Cricetulus griseus: one gene and its partner. The protein of the gene in region 1 purifies or fractionates together with the protein of each later gene. This does not show direct contact. Links are inferred from orthologs where the notes say so. Each region holds a gene or a part of one and is shown on either strand. Other genes may lie near its edges. The genes, in order: Slamf6 and Sh2d1a.

Region 1 (3,350 bases):
TCAAGTCCTCTTCCTAGAGCAAAGCCTCAGGAGCCAGAATGGCTTTCTCCCTCCCCCAAGCAGACCCTACCTGTCCTGCCTCCACAAGGGACCCCAGAAAGCCTGACAGGGCCCCAAACTGGGAGTATAAATGGCCTTACCCAGCCCCTGAAGGCAGCCCAGAAGAGACTCAAGAGAGGCCTAAAACAAGTTCAAAGGAGCCCTCAATGTTTTTAAAGATTTTATTTATTATGTATACAACATTCTGTTTCCATGTATATCTGCACACCAGAAGAGGGCACCAGATCTCATAACCGATGTGGTTGCTGGGAATTGAACTCAGGACCTCTGGAAGAAAGGGCAGTGCTCTTAACCTCTGAGCCACCTCTCCAGCCCAGGAACCCTCAATTTATGTATCCTGAGAAGTTCCTCTTCTCTTTTTTTCCTTCTTCTTTTCAGGTGTTTTACCTGAGAAAAATCTACAGTGGCATCAAACATTTATAATTATTGGTACCTTGCTGGCTATAGTCGTTGTGTGCCTAGTCATATGTCTTTGGAAGAAAAGAACAGGTAAATTTTCCTTCTGCCTTCTTCTATCTCTAGAACCGCAAGTGTTTAGGGTCTGGGGCCTCTGGCTGCCAAGGGCCAAGGGAGGGTGGACACAATCTCTGGCTAAATGAATGCATTGGGATGACCCCCTGGGGTGGGGCAGGCTTCTGTTAATATTTCAAGAGTGGTGTCTATTGAGAAAAGCAGGACACAGCTTCAGGGTACACTTGCTCAGCTGCCCTTCATTTGGGACCTGTTACCTGTATCCTCTGGAAAGCCACCTGTTGGGGGAGGAGGGAGAAAGACTTCCCTCACTGAAGTCATGCATTTCAGCTTCTTGCTTTTCTCTTTCAGGTTCTCTTTTTTTGGCTAGCCAACATCCAGGTGAGCATCCATGCTCTTGATTACAGCAGACAGGAAGGGATAAACCAAAGAGGAGAGAGAGAGGGGGGCTGGCCAGAGGGCTGAACAGTGAGAAGGAGAGAAAGCAGAACATGGCTGTTCAGCTGGACCCTATGGTGTCAGAGAGCCTGGTTTGTCACCATGAGACCTGTAGAGTTCCTCCCAAGCATGTAAGGGGCACCACGGTTTTCTATAGCAAGGTCAAGATCACTTACTTCCTTTCTGAGGGAGAAAATAAGTCCCAGTGAAAGGATCCATGAACCATCCACTGTCACCCAGCTGGTTTCGAACAGAGATAGGACTTGAGCATGAAGCACTCAAAACCAGGCTCCGTGACTGTACCATGGATGTTCAGCCAAGGTTTAAACCCCAATAGATAGACACCATTGAAAAAGAAGGTGTGATAAAGAGAGGCTAATGCACACTCATTTTCTAAGTCTCACCCGGTGGGTGATAGTTTCAAGATACCATTGTTGAAGAGAGGGCACAAAGTCAGGGGTCAGAACACTTGCTTTCCAATTCCTGTCCCACTGCTTCCTGAGTGGCTTTGTATAGGTCTACTGAGCTCTCTTGAACCTGTAATTCTTCATCTCTAAAACAGTCAAATCTGTCACACTGCCTGTGAAAACGGTGTCTCCAGAGATCCCTTGGGTGGTGGTGATCTTTAGTCCATCATGTGTTGAGCATGAGGGAGTCACTGAGACTGTAAGTCATAAGAACACCGTTCTTATGAACAAGCTTGAAACAACTGCTTTGGAGATAAAAACAAAACAAAACAAAACTCTAGAGATCAGCAAGACGCAAGAGGGAAGCAGCCCTGTAGTCCCACCACTGATAGCCATACCTTTTTTGTGTTAACCATAGATTCCTCCCAGAACACAGATACTCCAGGCTCTCCAGGGAGCAACACTGTGTATGCACAGGTCACTCATCCAGTGCAGGTAAGTCCTTTCCACTCTGTCCCCCACCACTGTTATTTTACGATTACTCACAAACTTGTCACCATAATCATCCATTATTGGAGAAGGCAGCCATAGAGCTGAGCATCCCAGTGTCGGCTATGATCACCCCTAAGGGAATGTTCACTCTTACTTGATTCCTAGTGTTCTTTAACTGTTTAATGTTCCAGTAGATCTTATCCTTTCTGGGTAGGGACAACCTGCTTGAAAGTACAAATTAGATATCCTCCCTTTCCCTTACTTCATGTAGCATGACACTCAATGAACACAGGAATAGATCAGAGGAGATTATACCTAGGAGGAGCTGTCATCCAGGTAGAGGGGTGCTAGGAGACCCTAAAGTGGTCTCTCAAAAGACAAGGGGGGCAAGTATCATAACCCCTCCACAATGAAGGAAACTAAAGCAAGGGGCTCCCACATAATACGATGGCCTTGGTCAAGCTCCAGGCAATCCTCTTTCCCACCACCTATGATTGAGACAATACTGGGGACACTTTTCTGAATAACTAAACAGACTGGAGAGCTGGTTCTCGTGTTTTCTGAAAAATCAGCCAAAAGAACATGGCATTCTTCAAATGGCCCAGCTAAAAGTCTTGGATTCCCCAAGCAAACACTCCTGGCCAAGCTCATCACAGACTTTGTGAAGTTCCTAAAAGAGAAGACAATAAAGGGTATTCACACCACTTACTCAATTGCCATTCCCAACTCCCGCTGGGAGCAAGCTCTCCAACAAACCCAAAACACTAATGGCTAGCCCATTTGTCAGCTTCTTTAAAAAAAAAAAAAAAAAAAAAGCATTATACCTTGGAGAGTTTCTAGGGCCTTAATTATTCTCTAAATATTAAAACCAGGAGTTTCTATACTTCTAGTTCCCAACCATGACCACAAAGCAGTGACTGGGCCATTAGAATAACAGGGATAAATGGAGCAGGCAATGAAGATGGCTCCAGTTATAGCTAACAAAGACTGGGAGAAAAGATACGATGCAATAACTATCTGGCATGTAATTCTCACAGACAGAGGAGAAGCAAGCATAGAATCAGATGCAAGACAAGGATGTTTTCAGCCCCTCACACATGGCCACCTTTCTGTTGCTCTCTAGTTGGGACCTTGGGATTGACGGGATGTTGCTCTTCTATTTAGGCTGCCTTTCTACTTCTCAAGAAATGTTGCTAGAACCTCACAGATTTAAACTGGTAGAACTAAGTCCCCACCTACTCTTGGCATGCCACTTCTTTCTCATCACACTGTCTCCCCCACAAAAATATATGCATGCACGTACCTCTTTTGTCTCTGTGAGAGCCAAATGCATAAAATTCTTTTTTTGTTGTTCTTTACAGGAAATGGAAATCCCAAAATCTATAAAAAATGATTCTATGACAATTTACTCCATAGTTAATCATTCCAGAGAGGTAAATGCATGACTGTTCTATCTTCTTTTATTTTGTATGAGTGAATGAA
Region 2 (3,826 bases), on another chromosome or scaffold:
CTGCAGCTACCTCCTTGTTGAAATTTTCTTATGATCTTCCTGCTGCTTATGTGGTCATGAATAGGTTGACCCCCTAAATCTAAGCTTCCCAAGTGTTTGAAAACTAAGCAGGTGTCCACACCTGTGGTACCTTGCGTACTCCTAGCTGAGGACTTCTCCACTGGATACTGCAGAGGTATTACAATGCCTTGATCTGGCTTCTGAAATGCTGAAATCAGATTCTTTATTTTCCGGAAAAATCTTTTGTGTACCCCAGGTGCTGTCTGGAAAATAAAAGATGAAAAAAGTATTCATTTGCCTCATGATGCTAAAAAAAAAAAGAAAGAAAAAGACCTATAACATGTGAGAGGGATGCTCAGAGAGGTAACATTTGTGTAACTTGCTCAAATATTTGAAAACATAAGGAAGAAATGAAAACAACATCCAGAAGAGCTTACTTTGCTTGGCTGAATTTCCTTGCAAGAGGAGCTAATGAGCTGTCATTGCAGTTCTCCCAAGGGTAGTACTAGTTTGTACAAGCTCTTTCTCACAGCCCTGCCCTTCCTGACTGCTACCCGTCATACATCCTGAACCTCTAAGGATGTACAGGCCATTACCCACAATGAATTCAGCAACAGAGGGGATGAAGTTAAACATAAAAAAAATGTATAGATCCTACAGGTCATTAACAAAAAAGCCTGAGAAATCAAAACAACAACCAACAACATGTCCCCCATCCTCATTTTATAATATCAAATATTACACAGGAAATTTAAAAAGTGACTGTTACGATACACACAACTGCATGGCTGGCCGATGCATATACTATTTTACGTCATAATACATACTGAATCATCCTTCATGTTAATTTTGTGTTCTTTGCCCAAATTGTTTGCATAGTCAGCCCTGCACCATGACAAGGTTTCCTCTATGACATGTAAATGAAAGACTATACAAGTTTATCTTTATTTATGTATTTGTTCATTTTTAAAGAGATCAAATTTGCAGGTGGCTGTTAAGAATGTATTCTTTCCTTGACATCTGTGCTCTCACAAGGACACTGCCTGAAATCAACATTCCCCACAAAGCTTATGAGCTGTGCTTTAGGCACCCGCTCAAAACTGTCATTTTACAGAAAATAAAATAGTATTGCTACGAGCAATTGAACAATGACTAGTTTTGCTTCTTTCTAGTTTTTTTTTTTTTAGAAAGTTGTTTTTCAGCTATTCCATCTGGAAGATTTTTGAGATGGGAACTGCTTGGTTTTTAGCATTTAAGGAGAAAATATGAGGCTGGCACACAGACTTCTGTCAACTGGACTTTAAACTCGAGATAACTGACTATCCAAAGTTACTCTTGGTCATTGCCTACTTTGGAGTGAGTAGGGAGTTTTCCAATATAAACACATGGTAGATGTTCTCTTTAGCTGTAATTTAGTGTTCATCTATCCAGTGTCAACGGACAGAAAATGGTCTCCTACCCATCCCTATTCTTATGATCAGAAGACCTAATTTTCTGCTGAGGCTTCATCTAAAAATAACATGGCCATTCTCGCAGAGACCCAAATAACTCTTTGGCTTCAAGACAGAGGCTGCAAATTACAAAGGCGTGCAAATGGCTACAAAATACCTCCTTACTTCTTCCTTAGGGCATTTTTTGATTTTTCAAAACACTTTCCCATCTCTTGCGTTCACTATTTCCTCGTGAATTGGAAGATATTGATTCTTCCAATTATTCTCATTTCACAGATATAAACATGTAACCTAATCATCTTGCATTGAAGTAAATTAATAAGCAGGTTGAGGTCACACATAAATCAGAAGCAGCAGAATTGTCTCTGCATTCCTTTCAGATTAAGACTAGACCAAGTAGTTTCGAGTGAAGCTGAGGTCACCTGCCAGAAGAGAGACTGCATATTTCCCCAGAGGGGAATCATTTGAAACCACACTTCATTTAGGCTGTTTCTTGTGGCTTATACATGTATTTTCAACAAAGGCATCATTTCTATGGAGACTGATAGTTAACACTTGATTATCAATGCTGACAGAGAAGACAATTACCACTGGACATAGAGAAGTAATTTGAACTTGAGATGCAGCATTTCTTTAGCAAATGACTGACCTAATTTATGATGCTTTGCTTAGGCTAATAAGTAATTCACTTACTAGCTAAGAATCTCCTGGTGACCAACTACCCAGAAAAGCCCAAAAGCACAGAAATTGGCAGAGAGGGAGAGAACAGTACACTTTTGACAATGAATTGCTGACAATCTATACTTAATAAATGATAATCAACAATTCATCATAACTTTAGCCTCCAGGAACTAAGTTAATGTCCTCAGTAATGTTCTACTTAAAATGAAATTTTCTGAATATTTTCTTTCATAATCCAATAGATTCAAAGTTCAATTTAATATCACATCTCTAAAACATGTCTTAAACTTACCTAAGGACAGAGGCTAGAATGTTCCTGACATGACCTTTTCTTATGGTATGTCAAACTAAAATGCTTTTCCTGAAAGTAGTACATAAGCCACTTACCACATTTTGGAAAGACATTTATCACACACACAAAAAAGCATCATGGCTACTATCCTGTCAGTGAATTCAGTTCTTGTTCAAATTTGAGCATTTCCCATACTGCCATCACTTAATTATCCATGGAAACACGTTTTGAATCACAGCTGATCTTCAGTACACTCTGGAGAACTTTCTTCCAGCCAGGTGATTTGAGCTCTGAGAATTGTGCACTACTTTAATATTCACCTTAACAAGAAGGCAAATTTTGTAGACAGAAAAAATGCAATATGCATTTCATGAAACAAAGATGTTTTTACCTATTTCCCATTTGGGGATAACCCAAGACAATCTTCTGCTCTCATGGTGCAAATAATTACAATATTATTATATAAGGAGGGTCAAATCAGATAATAGGATAAGGAATATTTATGCTCAATAGACCCTCCTCTGAAAATGTTTACAAATATGTAATGATGTGCTATGATGTTACATGCGAAATGGAAGAAAATGAATTATAAAATGTGTCTAAGAATCCATATCACATCCCTTCCTCCCAAGGCTCAAGGATCATTGAGGAAGAGAAGTGAAAAGAGTATAAAGCAGTGGAAAATTACAAGGAAACAATGTATTCCAGACACAGCAGGACAGCTTCACATATGAACTCACAGTGGTTATGTCAACACGCACAAGACCTGTGCAACCTAAGCCAGATCAAATCCAAGCATGAAGAGAGGAGGTGTGTACAAATTCCCACTTCTGGCAAGGAGCTGCTGGCAATTGATAGCTACCAGGAGAAGAAAAGCCAACTTTCTTTAAAAGAATAGCCCCTGGTAAATCAATCATGCTTCTGAGGAAGGCCACACATCCAAGAATATTTGGACAGCACAAATTGAGAAGACAGATTTATCAAAACAAAGAGTACACAAAATTTCCTGGATTGGGAGAGAGGAACAGATCTTGGAGGACAAGGGTAAATAAGATCAAAACATATTATACAAAATTCTCAAAGAACTAATTTTTTAAATCGCAAAAATATCAAAGATTTTTTCCATAAAAATATTTGTATTGCTCAGCTGAAGGGTATTGTTTGAGGGAAGAGGATTATTTGTGACCAACCCATACATAAATTTACATATATCAGGTACATACAACTCTTCTTCACAATAAATCAAATTGCTTATTTATTTGCAGTGACAGATTTTTTAAGAAACACAGTTTTGATTAGAAATGGTACTGATTTTTCCTTATATAGTATCTCAGTATTAATTATCCTGACATAAAGTAACAATGTGACCAGAGAGGAATATAGTACCATAGGGAAGAACACA

The links.
Region 2: the proteins of Slamf6 (region 1) and Sh2d1a purify together in Homo sapiens (co-immunoprecipitation; 5 studies listed by BioGRID and IntAct, with this or other methods). This does not show direct contact. The link is inferred for Cricetulus griseus from reciprocal best matches to the Homo sapiens genes SLAMF6 and SH2D1A.

Annotation. Positions count from the first base shown.
Region 1 is NC_048598.1:20,905,105-20,908,454, reverse strand, and holds part of Slamf6 (SLAM family member 6), read left to right. Parts: intron 1-438; coding exon 439-549; intron 550-882; coding exon 883-912; intron 913-1,794; coding exon 1,795-1,871; intron 1,872-3,229; coding exon 3,230-3,301; intron 3,302-3,350. UniProt on the Homo sapiens protein: Self-ligand receptor of the signaling lymphocytic activation molecule (SLAM) family.
Region 2 is NC_048604.1:25,494,333-25,498,158, forward strand, and holds part of Sh2d1a (SH2 domain-containing protein 1A), read right to left. Parts: intron 264-3,826; coding exon 122-263; intron 1-121.